Oreochromis niloticus: one gene and its partner. The protein of the gene in region 1 interacts with the protein of each later gene in a pairwise test. Links are inferred from orthologs where the notes say so. Each region holds a gene or a part of one and is shown on either strand. Other genes may lie near its edges.

The links.
Region 2: the proteins of txndc5 (region 1) and gmppb interact in a two-hybrid assay, tested with the Homo sapiens proteins (2 studies listed by BioGRID and IntAct). The two-hybrid records come from large-scale screens. The link is inferred for Oreochromis niloticus from reciprocal best matches to the Homo sapiens genes TXNDC5 and GMPPB.

The regions. Positions count from the first base shown.
Region 1 is NC_031974.2:23,871,348-23,886,984, forward strand, and holds txndc5 (thioredoxin domain-containing protein 5), read left to right. Parts: upstream 1-7,601; 5' UTR 7,602-7,715; coding exon 7,716-7,900; intron 7,901-8,774; coding exon 8,775-8,927; intron 8,928-9,362; coding exon 9,363-9,468; intron 9,469-9,561; coding exon 9,562-9,658; intron 9,659-10,408; coding exon 10,409-10,524; intron 10,525-10,791; coding exon 10,792-10,878; intron 10,879-11,391; coding exon 11,392-11,553; intron 11,554-12,166; coding exon 12,167-12,249; intron 12,250-12,564; coding exon 12,565-12,694; intron 12,695-13,016; coding exon 13,017-13,139; 3' UTR 13,140-14,555; downstream 14,556-15,637. UniProt on the Homo sapiens protein: Protein disulfide isomerase of the endoplasmic reticulum lumen involved in the formation of disulfide bonds in proteins. Can reduce insulin disulfide bonds.
Region 2 is NC_031970.2:16,045,639-16,061,595, forward strand, and holds the start of gmppb (mannose-1-phosphate guanylyltransferase catalytic subunit beta), read left to right. Parts: upstream 1-7,866; 5' UTR 7,867-8,006; intron 8,007-10,006; 5' UTR 10,007-10,061; coding exon 10,062-10,190; intron 10,191-10,281; coding exon 10,282-10,362; intron 10,363-11,087; coding exon 11,088-11,136; intron 11,137-11,274; coding exon 11,275-11,417; intron 11,418-11,565; coding exon 11,566-11,724; intron 11,725-12,318; coding exon 12,319-12,397; intron 12,398-14,249; coding exon 14,250-14,377; intron 14,378-14,460; coding exon 14,461-14,643; intron 14,644-15,131; coding exon 15,132-15,263; 3' UTR 15,264-15,957. Other genes in the region: lymphocyte antigen 75, read right to left, coding at 474-526. UniProt on the Homo sapiens protein: Catalytic subunit of the GMPPA-GMPPB mannose-1-phosphate guanylyltransferase complex. Catalyzes the formation of GDP-mannose, an essential precursor of glycan moieties of glycoproteins and glycolipids. Can catalyze the reverse reaction in vitro.

The DNA of each region.
Region 1 (15,637 bases):
TGTCTGCTGAAGTATCAGTCTACTTTCCCTGTAACTTTAAGCCTTCCTGGCAGCTTCTTGATTTGTAAGTTGTCATTGATACCTACGTACACCACACATGTAACAACAACCACTTTTCTTCTCTTGGAATCAAATCATATGTCGCTTTCTTCTGATCCTTCAAAGGAAGCTCCATTTTCTGCTTCAAACACTTGGTCCAGCCACAAAGCACATATGGAGCTGGTAGTAATTCAGTATCTTGCTCAAGGACACTTTGGATGTATGTGTATGTTTTTGTTTATGCTAAAATATTATTTTGATAATGAGAATTATTGATTAACTGGACATAAAACACGCAAAAACGGGTTTCCGGAAGCATCGTTGGTCACACTGACTGACTAACTGAACCGCTAAGATGTCTAGGATGTCCATAAATCCCAATTCTCTTTTCTCCTCTTCTCTCATATTCCTTCCTCTCTTCTGTTTCTTTTTTTCTCTGCTGCACCTCAACTCCCTCACTCCCTGGTCAGTATATCCTGATGGCTTTACCAGAAGGAAGTGGGGCCTTTACAGAAAGGCTGTGAACCAAGAAGTGTCTGTAAAAGGCAGCCTCCTAGTCGGGCTTGGTCCCGTCATCACCTGCGATGTCTCACCTCATGTGACAGGTATAAATATTCATCAAAGTGCAGAGCTGTGTAGGTTCTTTCATCAGTTCAGACACTTTTTCAAATTAATCCAAGCTAGGAAAAAGCGACAGTCCAAACTACAACTGTACTGCGATCACTGTGGGCACAATTAACAACGTTTACATGGAACTGGAAACGCAGAGTTTTTGTTAGGTTTACTCTGTCTACCTCCTCCCTTTATGACTGCGTAGGGACTGATCATGTTTACGGGGCAGGTGATTTTGAAGTATTTTAATGACAAAATCTGACAAAAAGTAAGAATGCTGGTCATGTGTCTGTGCAGTGCACACATGCAGAGATTCAGATTTTACAATGAGGTATCCAGAGTTAGATTTCCATCCTTTTTCTAATATAAAATTCATATTTAGAAGACTACAAAAGGACAAGTCCTGACAAATTTTCAATGGATGTACTTGAGGAAAGATTCAATTCAATTCCGTTTTATTTATATATTGCCAAATCATAACAACAGTTGCTTCAAGGAGTTATTTTAAGGTAAAGACCCTACATTAATACAAAGAAAACAAAGAAAACCCCAACAATCATATGAACCCCTATGAGCAAGAGCTTTGGTGACAGTGGGAAGGAAAAACTCTCTTTTAACAGGAAGAAACCTCTAGCAGAACTAGACTCTCAAGGAGGGGCGGCCATCTGCTGTGAGGGGAGGAAGAGAGGACAAAGACATGCAGTGTCTCTATTCTGAGCCATAATAAATATGATTAATCAGACTACTTATGATGTCATAGTTAACAGTTAGATGTTCAGGTGGTCTGAACCAGTCTGAAGCTTTGGATAAAACGGGTCATAAGACAATGCTTACAGTAGTCCACTCTGTGTTCTTGAGCTTTCTCAATGAATGAATTTTTTGGTTTGATTCTATATTACTCCTTTATTTATCCAGGTAAAAATCTCATTGAGATTAAAAATCTCATTTTTAGAGAGACCTGTCATCATATCATTTTGTGATAGCTGTGCAGCTCCACGTCATGCTATTGTTAAGGTGAAATGAGCTCCTGTGTATTGTTTTATTGCTATTACTTATATTAATTCAAACTTCATGTGGCCATTTTTATGTAGATTCATTTTAATGAGATTTGCTTGAAAAATCCTTTTGTCGATCAAAACAAAACAAAAACAAAGTCTTAGCAAAGACATTTTAGCAGTGACATTTTTGGCTCTTCTTGATTTTGGTTAGTTTTGCCCTGTGATTGTTTCTTTTTTTTGGAAAGCAGCAGTGATTTGCAGTCAGTATCCAACCTGTGCACAGCTTCTGTGTGGAGTTTCCAAAAGAGAGAAAACAGCTAGCCCTGTAAGGTCACAGGCACATGATAGTATTTCCAGGCTGTAGACTCCTCATGAGGCCTGGCACGCCTTTAGTCATCTGCCTGGATCCAGCAGAGAGCAGCAGAACATAAAAACACTTTGGATAGAGAGGGCGTTGTCATGGCAATCCACAACCACCACAGCCTCTCAGCCTCCTCTATCCTTTTATCCGATTTCTTTATTTCCATTGTCTTTGCTCTCTTTCTTTTGTTCACCTCTGACCTTCTCTTATGTCCTCCTCGCCCCCTTTTCAGCCTCCCAGATGAAAAGTCAAGGTGCTTTCTGATTTCCACACTTTAATCTTTTTTTTATTTTTTACTGGAAGTCCTCCAATCATGTGGGAAAGCCCTTTCCCAACTGTTTTCTTTTCCAGCACAGGTGCGTGCGGCATGGGTTTAAGCATGAGCTGTCTGCAAATGACATTGGTTCCCCTCTGTTGGTAACATCCTGTTTCCCGGATATAATACGGCCATGAGTCTCGGTCTTCCTAATGGAAACACTTCTGGCTTTGGATTGCATCAGGTTCAGTAGTGGGAAGACAATGCTTTAAGCATTTTTACAGAAAGAGTGAGTGTCCAGAGAGGTAATTCCCATATGTTTATATGACAGAATTAGATTTGGTCAGAAATAGACTCTGAAATGTTCCAGAAGGTCTTCTTAAAGGGTTTCTCAGTGTTTCCCTTGGCACTGGTGAAAAGCAGACCCCAGTTTGGAACAGAAAGACAGTAGACACTCGCCGACCACATCACTGGATTCAACTGCTCGTTAACACAAATGTCAAGTTGGCCAATCACATGGCAGTACCCCACTGCATCGAGGCACGTAAACATGGTCAAGAATACCTGTGAAGTTCACACTGGGCATTATGAGGAAGAAAGGTGATTTAAGTGACTTTGAATGTGGCATGGTTGTTGGTGCCAGACGGGTGCTCTGAGCGTTTCAGAAACTGCTGATCTGCTGGGATGTTCCTGCACAATCACCTCTAGAGTTTACAGAGAATGCCCTGAAAAAAAGAGAAAATATCCAGTGACCAGCAGTCCTCTGGATGACAATGCCTTGTTGATGTCAGAGGAGAATGGCGAGACGGCCTCATACCAATAGGCAGGAAAAAGAAACTCCAACAACAAGGTATGCAGAAGAGCGTCTCTGAATGCACGACACATTAAACATTAAAGTAGATGGGCTACAGCAGCAGAAGACTACACTTGATGCCCCTCCTGTCAGCTAAGAACAGGTATGGAAAACGTTGTCTGGTCTGATAAATCTCCATTTCTGCTGTAACATTTGGACGGTAGAGTCAAAATGTAGTATAAACCACATGAAGGCATGGATCCATCATGCCTTGTATCAGCAGTTCAGGCTGCTAGTGGTGTAACAGTGTGAGGGATTTTTTTTTTCTTGGCCCACTTTGGGCCTCTTGGTACCAACTGAGCTTCATTTAAACACCACAGCCTGCATGAGTATTGTCGCTGACCATGTCCATCCCTTTGTGACTACAGTGTACTCATTTACTGAAGGGTCAAGCTCAAATCATCTCAAACTGCTTTCTTGAACATCACAGTGAGTTCACTCTACTCAAATGGAGTCATTCAATCTCAATCCAACAGATTCATTTTGGGATGTTTTCAGCACTATTTTGAATCTGTGCAAAGAATTAAGGCAGTTCTGAAGGTTAAAGGTGGTTAGAAATCAGGACCAGTAGTGTGTTTGCAGTTTATAGGATATATTGATCATCATTTCCCCATACTGACTTTTATGTACAAGCAAGCCTGAGACGAAGACTGCGATTATGACAGGAAAAGAATCTGGTGTCCTCTCTAAGGCCTGTGCCTGACCAGCCTGTATTTAAAAACTGATTTTCCTTTGGTGTAGAAAAGTCTCAAGTCCTCTGCCTTGAGTTCTTTCTCACTCGTTGAACTTTGGGGCTGGGACAAAACTTAACTGTAGCATAAACAATTTTAAGTTCACACATGCAGCTTCTTTCGGTCACTTTTCACCCCGTTCACCACCTGCTGACTCTTTCACTCTCAGCCACCAACTTCAGGCAAATTAAGAGAATAAACAGAGTGTCCTTGGGTCCCCTGAGTCTATTCATCTTTCTTTTTCCCATTACACCACGCTATGACTGGCCTGGCAAGGTGCCTAGCAATCAACAATGGGTAACCAGCAGACACCCGCAAGTATGTGGCCTCCACTACAGCGGGATAAATGTAAAATATGTCGGCGCTAATTTGGTCATATTTACCACGGCTATATGACATGTTGAGATTAAATAGTGATGTGTGGTTGCTGGCTTGCCCTGGTAACAATAGAAGCCCCTTTGGGAGAGTCCAACCTGCACATAGAGGTTATTTATCATGTGTACATGTCAAGGAAAATAACCTCATATATCATTTTTTACTTTAAATTAACCGTAGAGGCCTTTGCGTTTCACTGAGTGAGCAACAGCTGGGACGTAAGCAAGAGCAAGCGAGAGCTGTGGGTCAAGGCCATATTTTGATAAAACAGCTCAAATAAACTTTAGTGGGTGGGAGTTCTCATTCTGCCAACACCTTGGTGTTAGTACAGCAGACTAACTCACAGAAGGAATATGATCGGAGCAATCATAAGACACTAACAGGAAACCACTGATGTGACATGAAAGAGTTTAGGATGGCAGCTCGCTGTGTGCGCCCAATCAGTAGCACACGAGGCTGCAGAGCGTCTTTCTTTTAATAAACAGTTTGACATTTAGTGTAATTTGCCTATTTGCTCTTATGCCAGAAGTTCAGAGAGAAGATTGATACTCATGTCTATGGAAAGACATCCCTTGCCATGACAAGTAAATGCAGGGGATACTTTTACAGTGAAGGGATAGATTTAAACCCAACCCACAATATTTTGCTAACCCAGCAGTTTTTGCTACCTAAGCCTAACTACACAGCGAGTTATAGCAAGTGAAAAGCACGTAAAGCCCCCAGAAGAGGAAACAAACTGCGACCTTGATGCATTTTATGAACCTGCATCTCGCCTATATTGCTGCCAACTAAAAAGGTGCAATCAAAAAGTTTTTCCTATAAAAAGATAACAACATGCATTTCCTATCCCCTTCAAGGTTGTGTCCTTGGGAGGTAAAACACTGCTCCCAGTACTCCTGCTGCATTTCAATCACTGCCAATATATACAGGGTGTGATAGAAGGCAACAGGAAAAATCAAAACTGTTTTTATTCCAGGGAAACATTTGTTATATAGATATAGGTTAGTTCTGCTGCTGTTGTGCATTTTAATGTGGGAGTCTACAGAGACTTGCTTTTGGAACCAGCCCAAGTGGGCAACAGAGGAACTGCAGTTATCTGTGTTTTTGAGCCCCGGAGCTTTCAGGTCATGTAAGAGCAAACCTGCAGTGGTCTCCTCTCAAAAAGGATGCAGCTGTCGGCAGACTGCTGACTTTGAATTTATCTGTTTTCTCTTTCTAAGGTAAGATATCTCCTGCACGTCTTCAAAGAGATAGCCTAGTATATTTTTTACGGCCAGAGGTGAAAGATCACCTCATGTCTGTCTTGAGGTCAGCGTACAAATCCTCCTGGGCAACGAAGTCGGCTACAAGTATGTGGCTTCTCCTTTCAGTGGATGTACTCCCCGTGGACAGAATAATCCTGTGTGTGTGTGTGTGTGTGTGTGTGTGTGTGTGTGTGTGTGTGTGTGTGTGTGTGTGTGTGTGTGTTGGCGTGTTATGGGTGTTTAAAAGCTGGAAGTTCAATCATTGTCTTGGGAAATTACAGGAAAATCTCCTGCCACTGGCTGATTTTAAAGTACTGTCACACACACTCATACAGAGCACTTCATAAACACCTCAGCCTGAACTTATATCTAAGTTCAGCTGTGCATGGCAGGATCATTTTCACCATAGTAGACCATCTGAAAGAGCTCTGTCACGCAGGCGACATCTCTGTCTGTTTCCATGCTGTAACCTCTTTGTTCCTTTTTCCATTTTAACTGTTGTCCAGATGAAAGGTTGGGGGTGTGGTGGGGTGGGGGTGATTAAAGAGAAATACTGTTAATATGAAGGTTGTCTCCATTTGGTTTCATGAAATCATGACTATAATAAAAGATGGGAGGACTTTCCAAAGAGCTGTCAGTTCACAGAGCCAGCAGGTACTTTCTACTCTGGGAACAGACACACGCAAGCAGCCTCCACCGTGGGAATATATGCATGATTTATATCCACTGTGGCCATTACGCAAGGCTGTAGCCCCCACGGGACGAGCTATTTAACCAGTGTAAAAAATTGGATTAATTATGTTTGCTTAAAATGTTCTCACTTTAAAACATCATTTCCAGTGATGAGGAGGAGGCAACTCTGACTCATATCTGACCATCGGTGCAGAACACCAACAGTCTGTCTGCCATCTGAACCAGCAGCGATTTGACACCGGAGATGCATTTTTTTTAACAGCAAAAGCAAAAATATTAACTTTAAATGTGGTCTGTTTTCACAATATTTCATTTTTTCATGGATGTCTTCTAGATTTACACCCCTGGGCATTAATAGAGCAGCCTGTCTTTTCAATAAAGAGAGCCTCAGGTGTGAAGGAAACTTCTGCTGCCGGCCAAGGTGGAGCAGTCAACCCGAACTTACTGGACCATTTATAATAGACCAATTTGGCTTTTCCTTACACCAGCAGAGGCGGAACAAACTCTCCTGAATCTCTCTAATTTGATTTTTCTACATGACTTCAACTTTCCTTTAACATTTAAAAATTTAACTTCACATTCATCATCTTAAATTTACTGTCGAAGTGTTAGTGAAGTCCATAAAGTGCTGCATATGTTGATCCAAAATTTAAAAAAAAAATATGGGAATTTAATGAAGCTACACTCTCTGGATACTCTTATTAGGTATACCCTGCTAGTACTGGAGCCTCTTTTGCCTTAGTTGTTCATGGTACAGATTCATCCAAGCGCTGAAAACATTCCTCAGATGCTTTGATCCATGGATCCAAACCAAAAATAGCCCCAATCGTTGATACAAGGTAAGAGGATCTATGTTGTTTACACCAAATTCTGACCCCATCATCCAAATGTTACAGCAGAAATCGAGAGTGATCAGACCAGGCAGCATTTTCCAGTCTTCTATTGTCCAGCTTTGGTGAGCCTGTGTGAACTGTAATCTGTTTCCTGTTCTTAGCTGACAGGAGAGACACCCAGTGTGGTCTTCTGCTGCTGTAGCTCATCTGCTTCAAGGTTCAACATGTCATTCCTTTGAAATGCTCTTCTGCATTCTTTGGTTGAGCAGTTATTTGAGTTACTGTTGCTCAAAGCTGATATCTCTGGCATGAACAAGGCATTTTTACCCAGAGAACTGCTGCTCAATATATATTTCTATGGCAATAGTGAACTCTTATTATATTTATTGTTATATATATTATTATATTTGCACACCTTTTATTATAATATACATATCATCCCCCTGGAGTCAGTAATACCTCACAGGCTTTCACACTTCTTTGTAAAGTGGCACTTGTTTGAACCTGCCACATCTGATAGAGTTGCAAAGCGCTAGCGGGCCGCCACAGATCTACACAACACCGTGATTAGATGCCCATATGCAGCTGTGGTAAGCTCCATCTTGGAGCATCCCATCCAGGTCTGGCATTCTTTGAGTCAGAGGCTGCCAGAGGGGCGTGCTCGCAGAAAGTCGGTCCTTTCACACCAGCAGGGACACCGTTCAGCTGCCGAGATTCACCATGGCTTCATCGCTGCACCGCACACCCGTTTTGTTGCGTTTTATTCACTTGTCGTTACTGCTTGCTGGTGTGTTATGCGACCTTGAAGCAGAAGAAGATGAGCATGCCAAGCACACGTACACGGTGGATATGTTTAACGAGGCGGTGCCCACTGCACCCCACTTTGTCATGTTTTACGCTCCATGGTAAGTAAACGCTCGCTAAGTTTTTCTTTTTTTTTTTCACACGGGCTTCAGCAATTTTCCCAAAAGTACATTGTCTATGTGTTTAATATTCTAATTACTACTGAAAACACAAAAGCGTTTCTGATACTGGATTGGAGCAAACCGGCAAATTAGCAAGCAAGCTAGTTAGCACGCAGGCTAGTTAGCACTAGCTCATTCCTTTCGCTCATTGAGTGATGTTAGCTTAGCTGCTAACTAGCAAAGCCAAAATAGCCAAGTGCAGCTGAGCGAAATGAGACGCATTTTCTTCTTTTACGTGGTCCTCGCTGTCGTTTATGCTAACACTTCGCTAGCTGCCAACATTCAATATGAAGGTTTGCAGTTGAAGGCTGTACTCAAACAGTTAAACAGCTTTTATTTACAGAGCAGGAGTTATTCAGCCACAGTTCAAAGTTGTTCTTACAGGGCTGCGCTTACGTGGCACGCACTGATTGACTGATGTTATAAGAGTTGTTGCAAAACTGAGGTTCACGGTCCCCCTAGAGGTCCTTTGCGGATAACAAGAATTCATAATGCCATTATTGTTATGCAGTTTAATTTGGTCACCATGCACCGCATAATGTAAACAGGGAGCTGACGCTAAAGACAGAGATTATGAGATTATGTGAGGGGTTCTTTTGTTTTTGTTTTTTTTACACGTGATTGTTTAACCTTTTCATTAATGGAGAGGGTATGTGTTGGTTTTATTGTCAAATAACAGGAAGCAGAAAATACTGAAGCAGTGTGCCTGTGTCTGCATCCAGAATACAGTGTTCACATACACTGTTATGAAAATATAAACTCTCAGCTTTCCATAATGCATTAAATCCCCCATGTTTGCCTCTCTCATGTCAAGGTGCGGCCATTGCCAGAGGCTACAGCCAACGTGGAACGAGCTGGCAGAGAAATACAACAGCATGGATGACCCCCCGGTGTATGTGGTAAAAGTAGACTGTGTCCAGGACACTAAATTTTGCTCCAATGACCACGGCGTTAGAGGCTACCCTACGTAAGTACTACACTCACACCTCATCAGCTTCACTTATTGATGTCCGATTGCTCCGTGTATATATATATATATTTGTCAGTTTTCCAGAAACACAACAGAGCATAACGCAGCAGCTGAAGCATTTAGGCTTAAACTCCTCTTAGATCATGGAAGTAAACAGTCTTTTTCATCACTGATTGACAGAGGAGTGACACATTGACATGCATTTGGTCGAATATTCTGCCATTATCTTAATGGCTGAAACTTGGATGTTGCACCATGCATACCGTAACTGCAAATGCAGCAGTTTACTCCATAATCATTGACAGAATACCTGTTTTTATGGTTAAAGTTATAGCTAAGATTGACTTTAACTCTCTCATCCAGCTGTAGATTTGAAATTATAAATCTGCCATGCCGCGTCTCATGGAGTTGAATATATTGTCTTATGTGCAGGCTTAAGTTGTTTAAGCCTGATCAGGAAGCAGTGAAGTACCAGGGCCCCAGAGATCTGCAGTCTCTGGAGACCTGGATGCTGAAGACGCTCCAAGAGGAGCCTTCGGTTAGTGGTTTGGTGTTCGTTCAGTCATAACCTCACATCCTCAAACCAGTGCAAGACTGATGCTCATGCTTTTTGTTGCTGAATGTTTTGCAGGAACCAGAGAGTGAACTGGAGCCTCCTAAAGCCCCAGAGCCCAAACAGGGAATGTATGAGCTCACCGCCCTCAACTTCAAGACCCACATAGCCAAAGGTAAAGATGCATTAAAAGAGATGCTGTGTAAAGCTTCAGTTAGGCAACGTAATTAGCCAAGCGACTTTGCGTTTTTACGCAGCTGCATCCTGCTGTAACAGATAAGCCGTTTCTGTGTTGCCGTCATTTTTGAATCTGCTTTCAGTTTTCAGCCACACCGAGTTTCTGGATCTCACATTGGAGAATGGAAACACCTCATTAACTAGATTTACATAACTGACATTTCACCACCCGAGTACCCGAGCGTCAGTCAAAGCCAGCCGACTGTAAAAACCCTCGTCTCCCGTCGCCTCACGTTTCTGGACTTTGAGGCAACAACTGCAAAAATAAACGCCGCTCACGATAATTGTCTCGCTGAAATTACGGCTCTTGAGCTCCACTGAAGTTGAATGTTTTGGTTTTGAAGGAAAAAAAGTAAATGATTTCTTGTTTGGAGATGAAAATCGGCAGGATATGACATAGGTATTTTTAAAACGATGTTTATAGGTCCCCACCTTCACATCTTGGCAACAGGGCTGCAATAAACGTTGCTTAATTGGTTCATGTGAGCTGTAAGAGGTGTATATCCATTTACAGCAGGTTGTGTTGAGTTTGCAGTGAAATCAGCTTTCTTACGTTCATTTTCTGGACCAATAAACTTCAGTCTCGCTTTGTTAGTTTTGTGCAAATGTATAAATTCACTAAAAGCTGGTGTGCAAATGCTGCAAGGCTTTTCATGTTCTCCCTTTCTTTCTTTTCTTCCTGCCTCAGGCGCCCACTTTATCAAGTTCTTTGCACCTTGGTGTGGTCACTGCAAAGCCATGGCCCCAACGTGGGAACAGCTGGCCACCACCTTTGAGCACTCTGACGATGTGAAGATAGGAAAGGTGGGTTCAGATGTTAAAACAACAGAACAGATAGACACTCACTACAATGAAAGTTAACCTTCTTGAATTAGTCCCAGCTCTCCTTGTGGCAAACATTATTTACTCTTAAATGATTCCTGTCAGGATCCTGTGTGACAGACCAGGATGTTGATCATATGAGGAGCTAACTATTTACTTACTGTGTTATAAAAACAGCTCACAGAGCCAGTGTTTGCAGTGTTGCAACATTTCTGTTTAATAACACAAGTTTGTGTATTTGTGAACTAGGTGGACTGTACTCAGCACTACGAGGTGTGTTCTGAGAATGGTGTGAGGGGATATCCCACACTGCTCTTCTTCTACAATGGAGAAAAGGTATGCAAAACGTTTGTGGAATTTGTATAAAATAGTTGTACACGCGAGACAGATGTTGGGAGTCGGTGTCGTAGGCATTGTTTAAGCTTCATTCATTCCACTCGTTTAGGAGACGTGGAACATGCAAACATACATATGCTAAAATCATTTCGGTGTGATGATGATGATTCATGCTAAGCTGCTTAAATAGTTACAGAGACAAATCTGAAGGCAAGTAAAAACCCACCAATGTTATCACAGTGAAAACGGTTAATGTGTTTCATTTGTGGCATTAAAATTCCAAGTCGGAGTATAATCAGTCCATCAGAATGGTCTCAGAGTATATATGCCTTTGATAGGTGGCTTAAAAAAAACTTCCTGCTTTTCTTAATAACAGTGTTCTGTTGAGGGGAACTCATTCGGTTCAGAGGTCATAGGAAGAAAAGTAACAGATTTGATGCGTACATCCAAGAAATATTCAAAATATTGTTCCACTGGTTACAGTAACTCTTGTTTCTTGTCCTCTTTTCGTAGACAGAACAGTACAAAGGAAAAAGAGACCTGGACTCCTTCAAAGACTTTTTGGACAACCAGCTGAAGGCTGCACTCACCGAGGAGGAAAAGCAGGAGGAGCAGAAGGACGAACCAAAAGCAAATGAGATCCCTGCTGAAGAGCCAGCTGAAGAGGAAGCAAAGGTGGGTGTTCACAACAGAGAGGTGTTGTGCTCTGATAATATTTTGGTGTCCTCTTTTGTATTTCCTGTTTTGTATTTTTAAGTGGGGGCGTTTGTGTGCCCCGTTGAGCTGGTGCTCAGAGACCTTAGATACACAGCAGCTGCACATTGCAGTGATCGTTGATGCATTCAGTGGGGTCCTGGCTGTAAAGTTATTGTGATTCTTAGAGGACTTGAATTGTGTATTTTTACATTACAGTACACACGTAGTGCGCTACTTCTGGATACCATTACTGAGAATCTGCAGCACATGAGCAGCAGTTATTTCCTGTTGCAGTGAAACTACTCAACACATGTACATGTAGTAGTTACACTGTAGGTCTTTAAACCTGGCACCCATTCAGATTCTAATTAGGTGAGAGACTGGCAGCTAAATTATGCCAGAATTTTGCATATCATTTTATTAATGAGATGATGTGGGCATTACTGGGGAACATAATCTGTGCACATAGTTCATAAACTCTCACTCCAGTAGCAGTATAATAAATATAATAATGCAATAATGTCCTCATGGTGAGGAAAAACACGGATCCATATAATTCCAACTTGTATTCCTGTCCTCTTTCTGTCTGTAGTCCAGTGTTTTGGTCCTGAATGAGGACAACTTTGAGGAGACTGTAGCCAAAGGATTCACCTTCGTCAAATTCTACGCTCCATGGTGAGATTATTCTTTAACACCTTTCTTTATTGTGTGTTGTTAATGTCAAATGAATCATGATGCCTCAGAAATTCAAGTATTAAATAATGCTTAGCCTGTGTCTGCAAGAGAGGGCTTAAAACTAAGAGTAAGATGAGTTGGAGTGTATCATTTTTAAACAAATATATGTTAAGTACCTGCAGATGCTTGAAGTAATTATTGTTCTAGTGACTAAAGTGCTTAAACTCCTGATTTAAAATGTTGGCAGCCAGTGTTTGAAACACAATTTGTCAGTCAGTGAGAGTGATGTCACTCTTGTGTTATCCTGCTGTCTAGGTGTGGTCATTGTAAGAATCTCGCTCCAACATGGGAAGATCTTTCCAAGAAGGAATTTCCTGGTTTCACTGATGTCAAGATTGCTAAAGTGGACTGCACTGTTGAGCGCACACTCTGCAACAAGTACTCTGTAAGTGAAATTCTCCCCTTGTGTCCACGCGCTGAATGCTTTGCACTCGGAGACTGTTTCTGGCGCACGTACCCTTCTGTGAGCTTTATTTTTCTGCAGGATTAAGCGTGTTACAGTGTTGCAATAAAACTAAAGTGGTGGATTATATCAAAGACATAAAATTATACAACTGCTACATATTTTAATTAGATACTATGAAATAAAACCCTAAAGCAGATTTAACACTCTTGGTGGTTGGTGCGCACACATTTTCAGCTTTGAGTGAAGCCATGGTTATCCAGTGATGACAGTGTTGGTGACATTCTTTTTTCATGTTATCCAGGTGCGCGGTTACCCCACCTTGATTATCTTCAGAGCAGGGGAGCAGGGTGATGAGCATCACGGCGGGCGGGATTTGGAGAGCCTGCACGACTTTGTGATGAAGCAGGCCAGAGACGAGCTGTAGATACGGGCTAGTCGGCGCTCTCTCTCTCCACAACTCTACTCGCTCACACTGCATATCTGGCCAATAGGACACCACTCTCTCTCCTACAAAAGCCAGACCCCTCTCTGTCTCTCCCCCCACTCAGTCAGTCATCCAATGACAGGCTGGCGCAGTCAGCTTTTTTTTGGTATTCAAGTGCAGAATCATTCGGTAAGAGTGTTTGGAAGGTGATCGTACTTCTCATTGCTCTTGCTCCACCGTAAACCATGTGGAGACTGGTTGGGCCTGAAGATGAAGTAATATGTGTGACAACCACTTTGCAAGCTCTGCTCAGAACCAGAACTCTTCACAAGAATACAAGAAATGTTAAAACAGTGGCACTAAAGTTTCTACCTGTTTGTTTTTTTTTTTCTTTTAAATCAACTGTTTCTGACGTCTCTGCCATTTGACTTCTTTTTTCCCCCCGATGCTAATTTGTGTACATGAAATCTTCTTTTTGAAATCGTAAGCCATTAGTTTTCTATTACTGTCACTCATGAGGCTGTAAAAGTTGTGACTCTCCAATGTGAAGCAGAGTGTTAAGTTGAGGGTGCTTCATAGTCATGCCAGTGATGGCCTGTCTGACTTAACTCTCAGGGAAGAAACCACACAGACTGGGAGGAGATGTGATGGAGGAGTCTGTGATTTTACTGAATCTGACAACTTTTTTTTTTTTCTGTTAATCATGATTACCAGATTGTGACCGATTATTTTAGTCTCAGTGATCGACCATCCCTCTCTGCTCTTAGCATTGGGAGTGTTAGGCCTGGACCATGCTGCCCCATCGCTCTGTTACTGATCTTTTGTGTTACTGCTTCTGTTTGGACAAGCCATCGTTGATGTGAAGTCTCCTTAACATTCTTCCGTGTCGATGTAAAAACATGTGAATGTTTGTATTCTTCAGGCCAGGCTTATCCTACCGATGTTAGAAGGATTTGGGAACAGCATGGTCGCTCATCGTCAGCACTGAAAGGTCGAACTGCTGCTCAGGGTGAGCTCAACTCCCATCGTATCCACGTTCTCACTGTGATTTCCATTTATTCTTACTGAAGCGACAGCCTAAGTTGAGAACAGTGTATCGGGATGATTTAGACCTTTGGACACCAGAGCCATCAGACTGAATAAAATGGACGATGAGGTTCTGATTATAGTTAATCATTGAAGTGGGTTGGAACTGGCAGCATTAAAATTCAACACAGAAATAATTTTCGGGGGGATTCGAAGGTCAGACCTTAGTGAAAAAGCATTTGCAGTGTTTCAGTGCACTTTTCTGCAATTAACTGCGGTGTTGTAAACTGCACCCACCTGTTAGGCAAATGCTCTTTGACCCGGGTTATGTGGAAAGCATGTGTTGTGTGAATGCAGGGCACCATTTATTGTTAAACCCAGGTACTCAAACAGTCTGAGACACAGTTTTTTCTCAGTAAAAGTTTTTATGGATAGCACATGGTCTAAGCAACTCCAGTGACACAGTCATGTTTTTTTTTGTTTTTTTTTTCCTTTTCATGGGTTATAGTTTGTGCACTACCCACAGATTTTGTACAAAAAAAGAGTGAATAATGGCAAAATGTAACATGAGATTTCGTAATAAATTTTTCTCAAAAATAACTTTGCATTTTCATTTTGCTCTTGCATCTCTGTTAATAACGTATGTGATTTTTTTTTTTCTCTTTTTAATAAAAGGTGCAATAAATAAGCTGAGAATGTACAAGTATTTACAAAAAACTAAACATGATCACAAATGTAAACAGCAGCTTACCAGAGGTATATTTTGTAATGTATGATTGGTTAGGCACGTAAGGTATTCTGATTCTTACTGGTATTAGTTTTTCATTAAAATATGCTCTAAAAGTTCTCATGTCATTTAAAGCTCACAGTTACATACTCAGTTGGGAAGACGTTGCAACGTGACAGGTGACAAATTAAAGGAAAAACCGGGCACTGCTTTTCAGCAAAACTGCTTGAATGCACGTTTATTTTTAATTCTTCAGCTCTCTAAAACTTAGAGGTTATAGATTGGTCGAAAATTTACCAAACTGGATTGAGATCTGGTGACTTGAGGGCCACAGGCTCTATGAAAAGGGCAGAGCTGTTATCCCAGAAGCGGCCATTCCCTTCAAGATTTAACACACAGAACAAACTGATCCCGCCAATGAATGCTTAAAAAAAAAAGTACGAGATACCCCCACTCTGCAGGGTTTGAGCATTCAGGTTTTTCCATTAATTTGTCACCTGTCCATATCCGAACAGTTTCACCCTCAGGGTTGAAAAAGCAACCGGCTAATTTCAGAACGCTGACACAAACCGTTCTGCGGGCTTTTTTTTTTTTTTCTTGAAAGCTAAATGTTTTTTTTCCACTATTTCATGATGGGCTGTCAGGAGTGGAAGCGTTTGTTAACTTTGCGAGAGCAGCAACATGGAAATGGCCATTTGTGGTATGTCCGAGGGATAAGGCTGTATTCTTCGGTTCTTTGGAGAAA
Region 2 (15,957 bases), on another chromosome or scaffold:
AAATGAAAAAGATCTTTCAATTCATTTCAGTCTTTATTGAAAGACTTTATGTCCATAAAAAACAAGACAAAACACAATATATAAACCTTAATAAAAAACATTAAAAATATTAAAAATTTGTAAAAATATAAAACCATAACACACATAAAATACACAATTACTTAGAAGAAATCAATAAATACACAAACACTTAAACTAATGCTTTCTCAGACTGGATAATTAATGGGAACCACTCGCTGTCGGATCTGTGAGTGCTAAAATTATACTGCCACTAGAGCCATGCAGTCGTCACACAGTCACACCGCTCTCAAGGCGCTGCTGCTGTGGTGCTACTCCCTCTCCCACGCAGAGCGGGCCGAATAACTCCTCTCTCTCTCGGGCCACTCCCGAGCTCATGGAGAGCACGCTGTCCTTGCTAGGAATGGATGTGAGCTGGCCCCGCCAACTCCCTGCTGCTGGCCGTGAAGGATTACCTTTCACTCGCAGAAGAAGCAGATCGCATTCTCTTGGCTAGGAGCTTCGACATCCAGGCGATAGTTCCTGACTCACCAACGACATCTCCCGTGCCCCCACCGATTCTCCCGGGGGCCTCCAACTCATCGATGCTGGCTGGGATCGCGGCACAGCAATAAAAAACTTAAAATGCACTGTTCCAAATTATTATGCACACAGAGTTTCAAAAGATTTTATAGGTTGTAGAGAATTGAAAGTGGTCATTTGTTGAATTTGCAGCATTAGTAGATCAATTTCACTGACATCAAAAGCTATTTCAATCAAAAACATCTTAACAGGTCAAGTTACATATTAACATAGGACCACTTATTTGATAGCAGTTTTACAATTCTTGCATCCATGGAACTTGTGAGTTTTTGGAAAGTTTCTACTTGAATGTCTTTGCAGGATGTCAGAACAGCCTCCCAGAGCTGCTGTTTGGATGTGAACTGTCTCCCACCCTCATAATTTTTTGCTTGAGGATGCTCCAAAGGTTCTCAATAGGATTGAAATCAGGGAAGAATGGGGGCCACTCCATGAGTTCCTCTCCTTTTACGCCGATAGCAGCCAATGATGCAGAGGTATTCCTTGTAGCATGAGATGGTGCATTGTCTTGCATGAAGATGGTTGTGTTGCAGAAGGCACAGTTCTTCTCTTTCTACCATGGAAGAAAGTGGTCAGTCAGAAACTCCACATACTTTGCAGAGGTCATTTTCACACCTTCAAGGAGCCTAAAGGGGCCGACCAGCTCTCTCCCCGTGATTCCGGCTCCACCACCTCCTTCTTGACGATGCAGCCTTGTTGCGACATGGCGGCTGTCCATCAACCATCCATGACTGCATCCATCTGGACCATCCAGGGTTGCACTGCACTCATCAGTGACCAAGACTGTTTGAAAATTAGTCTTCATGTAGTTCTGGGCCCACTGCAGCCATTTCTGCTTGTGAGCATTGGTTAGGGTTGGCCAAATATAAGGTTTATGCACAACTGCAAGTCTCTGGAGGATCCTACACCTTGATGTTCGCAGTGCTCCAGAGGCACCAGCAGCTTCAAATATGTGTTTGCTACTTTGTAATGGCCTTTTAGCAGCTGCTGTCTTAATCTGATGTATTTGTCTGGCAGAAACCTTCATCATTGTGCCTTTATCTGCACGAACCTATGTGTGCTCTGACTCAGCCACAAATCTCTTAACATTATGGTGATCACGCTTAAATTTTCATGAAATATCTAAGGTTTTCATTATGTGTCCAAGGCATTCAACTATTTCACGCTTTTCAGCAGCAGAAAGATCATTTTTCCTTCCTATATTGCTTGAAAATGGTGGTCTGCTTAATAATGTGGAACATCCTTCTTTAGTAGTTTTTCCTTTAATTGGGTTCACCTGGCAAACTAATGATCATAGGTTTCCGAGATTGATTTCAGTGATACAAAGAGTCCTGAGACACAATTCCATCAATGGGTTTAATTGAAAAACAACTTATTTAATCTTTATGACACTTAAACACAATTTGCATAATAATTTGGAACGCGGTGTAATCATATTGCACACCACACTCAGTACAGACAGTAACGCAGCACTGCTTGGACTAAAAACAACCAGGTCAACTGCATACATGAGATGATTTATCAATGTTTTACCTAATATACACCCAGTGTTACAGTCTCTCAGCTGTATGGACAAATCATCAACATATAAATTAAATAAAATTGGAGATAAAACCCCACCCTGTCTGACACTATTGCTAACACCAAAGGGGGCAGAAATACTGCTTCCCCATTTAAACTACATCTTCTGATGAGCGTGCCAGTAAGAGAGAATCCTCACAATGTATCCAGGAACTCCCCGCCGCTTCAATTTATCAAAACGTTTTCTGTCGTTTACTCGATCAAAAGCTTTAGAGGCATCAATGAAATACATAAGGACAGATGAATTTTTTTGCCCTGACTATTTCTTTGAGTGCATATATGCACATGTCAGTGATGTGCTTTGGTCAGAAGCCAAACCGATTATCCAGGGAATAGATGAACACACTAACTCTGTCAATCAAGATTCTTTCTAGCACCTTAGATAAAATACTGGCTAGTGCAATCCGCCTATAATTATCCAGACAGCTCACTTTTGCAGCTTCATTCTTCATAACTGGTACAAGTAAAATACACAGCATTGAGTCTGGTAGTATCCCATGAATCATAAACCCTAGCAGAGTGCTAGAAGAGGAGCTAGCCTTAACCTAGCATGTTTTAAATGTTCTGCAGTGATGTGATCCAACCCACAAGCTTTATTATCAGATAAACTATGAATGGCTTAATATACTTAATATACTTAATGTGTCCTTACACTTATTTCTTTTTTCCCCTTTATCTCTTTATCTGGATTTTTTGACATTAAAAAAAACAAAAAACAAAAACCCCAAACAACAACACACTAAGCAGTCTGAGCCAAGTAAAAGAAAAACAAAAACAATATGGTAAATAATTGTGTCTACCAGCCGTTTACACATTTGACCTGACAAACCCAACCTGCCATTAAAGTGGGCCTGCCCCTCTCCCCCATAGTTTCCCTCAGATCATCAGGTAAGTATTCCATTAGAGGGCGCCATATATCCATAAAGATATCATCATTACCTTTCAATTTTGCACTCAGTCTTTCTATTGGTTAGACTCTGAAGATTTCTTTATACCAGTGTACAGTATACCAGTTGAGTTATTGTTGGTGGTTTTTCATTGATCCAATTGAAAAGAATACATTTTCTTGCCAAGAACAATAATTTTCATATAGTTTATATTTGTTTTTATCGGGAAATTTGTTCAGAGTTGGCAGAGCCAATAAATACTGAGCTGGATCTTTTTGTACTCTGCATTTAAATATACCCTTTAATTCGTTTGTTACACAGAACAAGAATTTTGACATTTTTGAACAAGTCCAAAGACAATGCAAGTAGGTCCCCACCTCAGATTTACATTTAGTACATTGTGATGACCTACTCGGATCAATTTTATTCAGAAAAGTAGGCGTTCTATACTGTCTGTGTAAAATTTTATATTGTATTTCTTTAAATCTGTTATTAAGAAATAAAGAATGTGCAGATGGTATGCACTCACTCCAGGCATAATCATCACAATGACACTGGAGGTCTCCCTCCCAACTCCTGATATGTTTTCTAATATTATGTTTGTTATGGCCTTGTAATGTATTATAGAACTGTCTTATAGTACTTTTATCTGAATTTAAATGTAAAAAAATGCATTGGGTCCTAGTTGCATTGTATTGTGCAAAGCATCAAAATTTGAAGTAATGAACTGACGAGCCTGTAAAAATGCAAAAAAAAATCCTTTTGATGTATTCCATATTTCCTTTGGACCTGCTCACAAGACATACAGACATTCCCATTAAACAAATCACCAACCACACGTTTCATTACTCATGTCAGAATTGTCCTCATATGGTTCACTTTTTATACAGTTAAACAATGCATGATGCTGCAGTGTTATCTGCCGCAGAAACACCTTCAACCTCTTTATTATTAGACTTATAAACGGTCACTATTTACTGTTGTGGAAATAAGAATCCACTAAGTGTAATCAGCGACTTCATTATTTTTTGCTTTAGTTGGACTTTCTCCTGCTTTCTTGTTTAGTAGTGCAGAATCCTCTCTTACAACATCATCACCATTCTTTCCTTCACCTGGAGGGCTACACATTTTCTCATGTGGAGAAACGGTATGTTTGTTGTATTAAAACTGCAATAACCTTCTGGTTCTGACCGAATCTCGTTTCCTTACGAGGGCTCGGAGTTTTAAGGACCTATCCTCGCCACGCTGTTTTTCTCTGATTGATCAGACTTGGAGAAGAGGCGGGATCAGTGTGTGGGACATACCATTATCCTTTCTCTGAAATACATAATATATTTTGACAACCGTGACGTTTTGACCTATTTTACGGCAACAATAAAACTATATAAATATACATTCACTTTTTAAAAATATTATTTAGGAAGCTTTCAAGTGTGCGGCTTAGACTCTGTTAGAGTTGAACACCCCTGAGTTTATCAAGGCAGTTAGAGATGACCTTCGAGTTCGACAGACTTCAGGCAGTCAAACCGGAAACTGAAACATTTGGCCTTTAGAATAAAAACCATAACGTCTCCGAGGCAGAGAGGACCTGCCCTAAGTATTTAGAGCAACTTGATTTTAGTAATGAAAAGGCAATTTGACATGGAAAGATACAATCTGAAACCAAAAAACCCTAAGACTGAAATAAAGTCAACAAAAGGAAAAAAAAGTTACACTGGAACCAAACCATAGCTTTGTTACCACCAAGATTTTTTTTACTTAAAAAAAAAGAGAAATATTTCTTCACATTGATAAACACACTTAACTCATATTCCTTGCTCTTGGAACTGCCCTTACATAAAAGTTAGAAACAAATCGCTCTTTGTGCAAAAATGGTACAAAAAAGGCAACTGGTCAGTGATGCATTTATTAAATGATAAAGGTAATATTTTGTTTGAAGATTTCAGGGCCAGTTATAACTTGCAAATAAGCAACAAAGAGTTTCAAAAAATTATTAAGGTTATCCCTCAAAACATTCTTTGTACAGCACATAATCTGTTTCAAAACCCTGACTAGATCCCCTGGCCTCCCTGGACTTTTAGTAAATGGGCACAACATTACAGCTAGCAGTCTAAAAAACTCTAAAATAAGTGAATTATTCACTAATGCTTTTTTCCCATATAGATCAAATCCAAATTCCATTTCACAACTGTTTTTCTGCGATCAAAAGAAAGAAATCAGAACAAAGTACATAAAACTTCCCATTCCTCCAAAAGCTAAGGAGGTCCATTACAAAATCCTCTCAGGTGTTTACCCTTCCAAAGAATTTCTCAGACATCGTTTTGCTATTGATGATAACATTTGTTCTTTCTGTCATGGGAATATTGAATTGACAGAACATTTATTTTACGAATGTATATACTGTAAAGCCCTGTGGGACGATGTGCACTACTGGGTTTTCCCAAAGATTCCAAACTTCCTTGAATTTTCTAAAATTATGATATTATTTGGATCTCTAAGAAAAGAAAAGAAACTTAAAAATGTCTTATACAGTGGGTATGGAAAGTATTCAGACCCCCTTAAATTTTTCACTCTTAGTTATATTGCAGCCATTTAATCATTCAAATCATTTAATCATTTAAGTTCATTTTTTTCTTCATTAATGTACACACAGCACCCCATATTGACAGAAAAACACAGATTGTTGACAAAAACTGAAATATCACATGGTCCTAAGTATTCAGACCCTTTGCTTTGACACTCATATATTTAACTCAGGTGCTGTTCATTTCTTCTGATCATCCTTGAGATGGTTCTACACCTTCATTTGAGTCCAGCTATGTGTGATTATACTGATTGGACTTGATTAGGAAAGGCACATACCTGTCTATAAGACCTTACAGCTCACAATGCATGTCAGAGCAAATGAGAATCATGTGGTCAAAGGAACTGCCTGAAGAGCTCAGAGACAGAATTATGGCAAGGCACAGATCTGGCCAAAGTTACAAAAAAATTTCTGCTACACTTAAGGTTCCTAAGAGCACAGTGGCCTCCATAGTCCTTAAATGGAAGATGTTTGGGATGACCAGAACACTCCCTAGAGCTGGCTGTCCGGCCAAACTGAGCTATCGGGGGAGAAGAACCTTGGTGAGAGAGGTAAAGAAGAACCCAAATATCACTGTGGCTGAGCTCCAGAGATGCAGTCGAGAGATGGGAGAAAGTTGTAGAAAGTCAACCATCACTGCTGTATGGCAGAGTGGCCCGACGGAAGCCTCTCCTCAGTGCAAGACACATGAAAGCCCACATGGAGTTTGCTAAAAAACACCTCAAGGACTCCAAGATGGTGAGAAATAAGATTCTCTGGTCTGATGAGACCAAGATAGAACTTTTTGGCCTTAATTCTAAGTGGTATGTGTGGAGAAAACGAGGCACTGCTCATCACCTGTCCAATACAGTCCCAACAGTGAAGCATGGTGGTGGCAGCATCATGCTGTGGGGGTGTTTTTCAGCTGCAGGGACAGAATGACTGGTTGCAATCAAGGGAAAGATGAATGTGGCCAAGTACAGGGATATCCTGAACGAAAACCTTCTCCCGAGTACTCAGGGCCTCAGACTGGGTTAGGTTTACTTTCCAACAAGACAATGACCCTAAGCACACAGCTAAAATAACAAAGGAGTGGCTTCACAACAACTCCGTGACTGTTGTTGAATGGCCCACCCAGAACCCTGACTTAAACCCAATTGAGCATCTCTGGAGAGACCTAAAACACCATTGTCCACCAACGTTTGCCATCCAACCTGACAGAACTGGAGAGAATCCGCAACGAGGAATGGCAGAGGATTCCCAAATCCAGGTGTGAAAAACTTGTTGCATCTTTCCCAAAAAGACTCACAGCTGTATTAGCTCAAAAGGGTGCTTCTACTAAATACTGAGCGAAGGGTCTGAATACTTGGGACCATGTGATATTTCAGTTTTTCTTTTTTAATAAATCTGCAAAAATGTCAACAATTCTGTGTTTTTTCTGTCAATATGGGGTGCTGTGTGTACATTAATGAGGAAAAAATGAACTTAAATAATTTTAGCAAATGGCTGCAATATAACAAAGAGTGTAAAAATTAAGGAGTCTGAATACTTTCCGTGCCCACTGTATGTGATAATTGTTATGGGTAAATTCTTCATTCATAAATGTCGATTTCTGAAAATAAAGCTGTCCTTTTTCACCTTTCACAAAGAACTCTGCCTCTTCCTCTCATCTGTAAAGTTTATGGTCAAAAAACAAACTGTGGATCTGCATCATATGGTTAATGAACTAAAGCTTTTAGAAAACCCCAAGGTTATAATTTTATTTTATGACTTTTAATTTTCATTTTAATTTTTATTAATTTCATTTATTTCTTTAGTTGCTTATGTTTATTTTATTTTCATTATCTGTCTTTTATATTTTGTAAGAGAGCCTGTCGTGGTATTATCTCAAGTTGGAAAAAGTCTTTGACAATATTGCCATATTTGTTATACTTGTTACATTTGTTTAATTAATCAAAAAAAATATTCCTTGCTCTTGTTTTTTTGTCCAGTAAAATTAAACTGGGTTCAACAAGTTTTTCTGGAACTAGCCCATTAGTTGCATACATTTTTCAAAAAGTCTGTAAGCACAGGATTTATCGATTTTCATTTCATTTTATTTATTTATTTTTATTCCACTATTCTCATTTAACTTTAAGACCAAGAAACCTTGTCCAAATATTAGTCTGTGGATAGAAATGCTGCACAAAGCCCGTTTTTAAAATGACTCTTATTCTGAAACGCTTCACCAGATAAGGTATGTTGACGTCGAAAGAGTTGATTGGCCGGCTCTTGCACCGGAAGCCAAACAAGGATTCGGCGTTTTAGCGATCTTACGTGTCATTCCCAGAGTGTCAGTGATTGAGACCTGCTGAAGACTATTAATGAAAAAAACCCAGGTGAGTTTTCATCGTTTTCATTTACTCTCACGCTGTTCGCAGACTGTAAAACCTGAATAGTAACCAGCTACCTGTCGATTTGAGTTCATTTACTGTAGATAAATAAAGTCAGCTCTGTCAGCTGACGTTAGCTATTTAGAGGCACTGTAAGTTCAGTACAAACCAAAACATGATCAGAGTCACATTTTATCTCACTGTTTCCCTTAAAAGTGAATTCATTTAAGGTAAAGTGCTGATGTAATCTGTATAAAACGCAATACTCTTAACAGGTTGTTTTAGTAGTACCTGTTTTAATCTGTGTTTATTCCCATGTGTATCCTCGTTTTGTCACCTGTTTGTGTTGGTTGGTTCTTTGGTTTGTTTTTCGACACTATTCAGGAACGTAAATATCACCCTATCACATGTTCCAGACCGCCTGATAGAATGAATGAATGAAATCTGTTGATCTGAGGCGACACCATGACCTTTTCTTGTTCTTCTTGTTCTTCCTCTTCTTTTTCTTCCGGATGCTTCCTTTAGAGTTTGCCACAGCGATCTGCTGTCACACCAACCATCTAAATGTCGTCACTACAGCCTTAAATGTTCTCTGTGCTCTTGTTCTTTTCTATCTGCCTGGAAGCTCCATATTTAACATCCTTTGTCCAGTTTATTCACTATCCCGCCTCTTGCATCGCTAACTTTGTCTCCAAACCACTACTGCCTGAGCTCTCCCTCTGATACTCACTCCAATGGAAGTCTGAGCATCTTGATCTTTATCACCTAATAATTAATAATTAAGTTGAATTTAATGCAGCCAAAAAGGTGGCAAATGCCTGAATTAATGCAGCCAAAAAGGTGGCAAATGCCTGAATTACTGCATCCAAATGTGTAAATGCAGTAAAAACAATAACAAAATCACCATCACTGTGATTTTATTGTATTATTTACTCAAGTGTACAACTTTGTAAAAAGACATTTACTTTCTTCAAGGCCAGTAGATATCAGGAAAATGCACAGACTTCTGTAACACAGATTCTTTGCTTTAACTGTAAGTGGACCAGACATGTTTACATATATAGTCACTCTCAAAGGTCCATTTTGAATCAGGAAAACCCTGACCTAAGTTAAACACGTTAAAATAACAGTACAGAAGTTTAGTAACTAAGAATATAAATAAAACAAAGTGGAATTTAATCATCCATTTTCTTCTTTTAATACAATTCACCTTTCCACCCGGAATAGAATTGAGTGTAGTAAAATGGCTCAATAAAAATACGACAAACCAAAGTAAACAACACAATGGATCAGGAAATAGTCTCTGATCTGACCACAGTTCAAGTCTTACACGTGATTTATTTTAGTAATGATGTATTATTTTAATACATTATTACTTTAAAATACATTAGGCATTATCTTTAAAACTACCTGCTCAAGGTTAGAAAATGATCATGGATTTTGTAAAGCTCTGTATTAAGTATAGCCCCAGATTTATATTAGTGGTATCACATTGTTTTTTTGCCAATATTTGCCTGTTTGTATATTGGCATTTGTGTCTATTTTATCTGATATTCACTGATATGAAAAATGTAAATGCTTTGCTGTCCATCTGTTTTGCACCCGTCTGCAAAGTTTTTTTTTGAAATTTCACTCCATAGTATGTTTGTTCGTGTACTGTAAGTCACACAAATGTCATCAATTTCATGGGAAGAACCTGTTTTTCAAGTAAATCCAGAGAACAAATACTAAGGGATCTTTGCCACAAGCAAAATATTGACATGTGCTGTTTGAAAATATCAAATACTGGGAGAAAAAGTTTATAGTAAAATAATAAGATCATGATCTGTCCTAGAGGTTATAATAAATTTTTCTCTGATTGTCGTCTTCAAAGTAAAAAAGTGACTGTATTTGAAAGTCACTTTTAATTTTAAATCCAACACAGAAACAAGCATGACAGATTTTTTTCTGTTCTTCCTTTAGAAAATGTCTGATTTTAATGATGAATGTGAATCTCATCTTTGCAGGGCATCAGCATCTGGTTATTGATGAACCTGGGTAACTGTTGGTAACGGCAGAATCATGAAGGCTTTGATCCTGGTGGGAGGGTACGGGACCCGACTGCGACCGCTCACCCTGAGCGTCCCAAAACCCCTCGTGGAGTTCTGCAACAAACCCATCCTGCTGCACCAGGTGGAGGCGCTGGTGAAAGTAAGGCAAAGATATCAATAAGGATCTAATGATGCTACTGAGAGGTTATTTTGTGTTGTAGTCATGAATCACTGTCTCTGTGTGTTTTCAGGCTGGGGTGGACCATGTGGTTCTGGCAGTGAGCTATATGTCAGAGCTGCTGGAGAGAGAGATGAGAGTGCAGGAGCAGAGAGTACGTACAACAACCTGCACTGTTACAGCAAACACCACCAGGTTTCTCCTGCATGGAGTGATATATGATAGATAACCAGTTTTATTAATCAGGATTTCATTTACTGAGGTATAATTGTGCACAACAGTCACTGTCGAGTATGTTTGGTTCCCTTTTCAAGAAACTATCGGCGTCTCTGCTTCTTATTTTTCTGGTTCTAGTTTATCCAGGATATTCAGAAAGTCGGTAACAGGTTTTAGGTTCAAGATTTCCAATCAATTGGTCTGAATTTAGAAACTAAGTCATCCTCAAAGGATGGCTAATTATTCTGAGATTGCTTTTCAGGCAGTGCAAGCCTGCAGTTTTAATTTTTCTATGGACTGTTTACCTGTGTGGAGAAATTTGATCATATGTGATTGGTCAGTATAATCTCTGGACTATAAGTGGAAAAAAACAGAAACAAGAAATCTTTAGATAGATTGTGATTAGTTGCGTGTCTCATCTGTGGCTTGTAACCTGAAGGGAACATCTTTAATCAGCGTGATTTCACACTAGGTGATCTTTGTTGTGCTTGATCAGGACCTCAAAGACTCGGTTGTTGGACTTGTGGGATTTCTGTATCTCTGGTCACATGTTAGGAAATAAATTCCGGAGACATTCATTTGGATTCGTGTGTGATGTGGTGTGGTTTCTAACTGAGCCCAAACATTAAAGTTGAACCTGACTGTTTTTTGTTTTCTTCTCAGCTCGGGATTCGTATCTCTCTGTCTCATGAGAAGGAGCCTCTGGGAACAGGTGAGTTTTGTCTTTACGACAGACAGATCCAGTAAATGGCTCTCTGCAAGTATCCAGTGATTCAACATTGATTAACTCATCTTTTAAAAACCATAGTAAATTAATGTGAACCATATAAAACTGTGTGTTTGTGCACAGCGGGTCCCCTGGCGTTGGCTCGAGACTTGCTGAACGATGACGGTGAGCCGTTCTTTGTTCTCAACTCAGACGTCATCTGTGATTTTCCGTTCAAAGATCTGCTGCAGTACCACCGCAACCACGGCAAGGAGGGAACCATTGTGGTAAGAGAGACTGTCCAAGTATTTCCTATGCTTAGCTGCTGCATATTGACAGGTTTTTATATGTTTTAGGTGGTTTAGGGGAAGCTGACTACTGTGGGGTCATACTCTGTGTGTGTGTGTGTGTGTGTGTGTCTGTGCGTGCATGAAGGTAACACGGGTGGAAGAGCCCTCTAAGTACGGTGTGGTGGTGTATGAGGCGGACAGCGGGAGGATCCATCGCTTTGTGGAGAAACCACAGGTCTTTGTCTCCAACAAAATTAATGCCGGCATGTACATCTTCAATCCCAGCATGCTCAGCAGGATCCAGGTGAGGAGGCTCTCGCACTCACTCATAGTGTCGATGTTAGTGTGTTATTTAGTAACAGACTCAGTGTTTCCCACAGACGGACTTTACCTGGGTGGGCCACACTGTTAGTATCTGGTATTATTGAAGACTGAAAGCTGAAAAGGAGCTACCACCAGTGCTTCCAGCCTTTTAGTTTTGATCAGAGTGAAGAATGCCATCTGGGTCACTGTTCAGCCTGTCATTGTGGCAGTCACTGATATCATTCAGCTTCTTGATCAGAGCTCGTCCTACATTCTGATGTACTCAGACTTCACTATCTTAGACTGTAGCTAGTGATTGCAGTCCTCCTGCTCTGAATATCTCCTGCGAGACCCTGGGTCACTCTAAGCCAAACCTACAACAGGTTTGTGTGCTGCTTCTCTGAGGTTGAAGAGCAGACTACGCTACAGCCACCAGCTCGTCTTCAACACGGTGGAGTCTACCAGCAGGATGAGACTCACTGGAGAGGCACCTGATTATGTGGGAATCTGTGGGAAACACTGAGTCTTGAAGACACTATAGTTTTGTTTATTTTTTGGACCATGTTCATGACTTTTTTATGCATTCTTTTTGCAGCTGAGACCAACATCCATTGAAAAAGAAATATTTCCTGTCATGGCAGGGGAGGGACAGCTGTATGCCATGGAGCTGCAAGGTAACTAATACTAATATTAAGACTGCAGTACTACAGCACAGGACTCTTCTCCTCCAGTGGCGTAGTGGTCATATAGTGACTGGTTTGATTCCAGCCGGAGACACAAATCCTCTTTGGGGTTGCGTCAGAAAGGGCATCCTGCGTTTAAAGAAAATCTGCCAAATCAGACATGCAGAGCTGCCCACTGTGGCGACCGCTGGTGGCAGGGAAGCAGCCGAAAGTAGCTTCTACTACAGCACAGGACTGTAAAGCTGCATGTGAGATCTGAACATTCAGCTTTTGCCCAAAATAGGGGCCCGTGGAGAAGATCGTATTCATCAAAATGATGCAAGTCAGTTCATAAAAGTATACAGTGGTGACCTCACCTTTTTCTTAACACAGCAGTAGGATCAGTAGGATGGAAATGTATGGTTTGAAGCTGACCTGTGTGCTTGATCTGGTCTCTGCAGCTCACAGCTCCACCAGACGTAAGTGTTTGGGCTTTTCGTGCAGGTCTGGAGAGGAAACGTTTGCAGAAAAGCACCACTAACCTAATCTTTATGCTCAGACCTAAAGGTTCTCTAAAGTTCTGATACAGATGTTTAAAAAGAAAACAACAAAAAACATAAGAGCTCACCAGCAGGAGGAATCACTTGTTGGTGCTTCTCTACATCCTCATTCCTCTCTGAGATCCTTTGGCTTTGCTGAAACAGCGGAACCACGTAGTCAAACCCCCACCCCATCCTGACCTGTAGTCCAGGCAGGCTTACTGGTCCCAGTCAGTAGTGGGTTTGTTCCCCTTTAGAAGATGATGTGATTCATCATGTTTAAGTAGTAAAACAAGGTCCTCGAGATTAGCAGCGAAGCATTTACTTAACTTAAGAATCAAAGGATAAATAAAAAAAAGATGGGCTTGATTTGTTCTTTAAACTTTCTTAGAGGAGTAGGAATTTGTACAAGTGACCTAAATTCTGTTTTGTCTTGGGCGTAAAAGGCTAAATAAATCCATTACATTTTAATAACTGATCTTTGGCTAGTTTATGCTTGAATAAAATTAGATAAATTCAGTTTAAATCTTTACGTTAATCAGAAACCAGAAACCCTGATGTTTATTTATGATGCTGGTGCTCATAAAAACCCTGATTAATGTTGTTCATACTGGTCATGCTTTCTTTCTTGTGTGGTTTTATTCAGGTTTTTGGATTAATGCTTTTTCAGGATTGGTATTTATTGAATTATGAATTGATGGTGATTTTTCTCCCTCTTTTTTTTTTTTTAAACGGAGATCTGTAGAAAATCCATCATTCTTTCCAGTGAAAATGTGGCTTTTTTAACCCACTGCACTGCATTTTCAGTTTTCAGTTTAAATCTGTATCTATGTCTGTCCTGGTTTCCACTTTTCCCCCCACAGCTTAACGGTAAGGGGGTGACACCATGTTGCAGTGGTTAGCACTGATAGGCGCTGGGTTCAAACCTTCTGGTTGATTTCTGTGTGTTTGTTTGCTCCTGAAATTCATAGTCTGCGGTCATACTTGTTAGGTTATAACTGGTGATTTTGGTGGCCGTAGGATTAGATGTGAGGGTACCTGTTTGCCCCGGTGTACTCCGCCTCTCCTCTCTTGATCCTGCCCCCCCCACAACACTTAGCTGGATATTTGGTTGAGATAGATGAATGATTTGTGCAGCTATGAGAAGAAATGCTGAAAACTCTGCTGGCAGTTATGTAAAATATATGGTAGAGTTTGCAGTCAGCAGATAAATGTCTGCCTCTTCTGTGACCTCATTATTCAGTGAGTCACCTGTTAAAGATCACAAGGAGCCGCCTGGTTGTTTTCAAGCTTTCAGCTTCCACCCTCTGTCCGTCTGTCTGCAGGTTTCTGGATGGACATCGGCCAGCCTAAAGACTTCCTGACAGGGATGTGTATGTACCTCCAGTCAGTACGACAACACGCACCTGAGAGATTACGCACAGGCCCCGGTTTCCTCGGCAACGTCTTGGTGGTGAGTGCACTTTGTTAATGTGACATCAAAATAAAGGCTTGTACTTCATGATAATGATCATCCCCTTTTCTTCTTCCGTCAAGGATCCCACGGCACAGATCGGGGAGAACTGCACCATCGGCCCGAATGTCACCATCGGCGCCGGCGTTGTCGTGGAGGACGGGGTGAGGATAAAGCGGTGCACGGTGCTGAAAGGGTCAAGGGTTCGATCGCACTCGTGGCTGGAGAGCTGCATCGTGGGGTGGAGCTCGTCAGTCGGCCAGTGGGTGAGTGGGAAAAATGTGTGGACGTTCTTGATTCATTCATTTATTGTGAGACGCAGCTGATTGTGTCTCTGTCTGTTTAACTGCAGATATCACTTGTGGTGATATTTGTACTCTATAACTTAGCCTAGTTTATTTTATTTGTTTCTTTTTAGAGCTTGTTGTATCTGCTTACCCGCTCATGGATATAATTTATTGGAGTTGCTCAAACTTTTGTTTGTTTGTTTTGTTTTTGGGTTTTTTGTCTTAAAGTAATAACCAAATGGGATTTTTGGCCAACTTCACAGTTCACTATTATATCTACCCTTTTCACATAACTTATAATAGCTAACGCCAAAGGAGCAGTAGGAGAACAGAAGGAGGCTGAAGGCTGTGGAAGCCGTACTCTTTCCGCTCTCTAGTTAAATCCTCTGTTTCATCTCGGACAGCGAATGTACCAAGATTTGTCACGTGCGATGGTGGATGACTTGTGTCTTAATGTGCGTCCTCAGGTGCGTATGGAGAATGTGACGGTGCTGGGGGAGGACGTGATCGTCAATGACGAGCTTTACCTGAACGGTGCCAACGTCCTGCCTCACAAATCCATCAACGAGTCAGTCCCGGAGCCGCGAATCATCATGTAGCGTCAGGTGGAGGAAAAATCCCAGCGCCTTTTATATGAAGACTATGAGGAAGACCCAAACTGTGCCAGAGAAGAGGGAGGGACATTCAGGCAGTTGAATGGAAGCAGGAGGAGGAAGAACAAAAGTCTTCTTTGTCTTTCTTTTTATACATTAATTTGGACTTTTTTTTAGCCCTGCTTGGCTGCATTTGTCAGAAAAGGTGACGTGTGTCAAGGAAGGTTTCTTAAAGTACTGACAGGTCAAACTCTCATGTTGGTAAATATGAGAAAAGTCGAGAGAGGGGGCTGCTTGGTGGAGGGAGCAAAGATCAGTATACTGGTAGGGAAGGGGGAAGTGGGTGTGTGAATATATGAACACTGCTGGTTAGATTTACTATGCATTTACACTTCCTGAAAAGAACAATCAAACCACGGCTACAGGTTGATGTCATGACTAATGCTCAGATTCTGATCTGACTTATTGTGAAACATAATGCAGTATTGGTCACAGTTAAAGGTCCAGTGTGTAGGATTTCTGATGCTCCTTTAGCAGAAATGTAATACAGGATTTATAACTAGTGTTTCTACTGAAGACCAAAAAGGACAAACAGCACTGGTTATAAGTAAATGGAACTGAAGGTGCTCCTACATAGTTGTAAACAATAGACTGTATATCAAAGATGGACAATGCCACCACTGTTTGCTTGTGGAGGCTT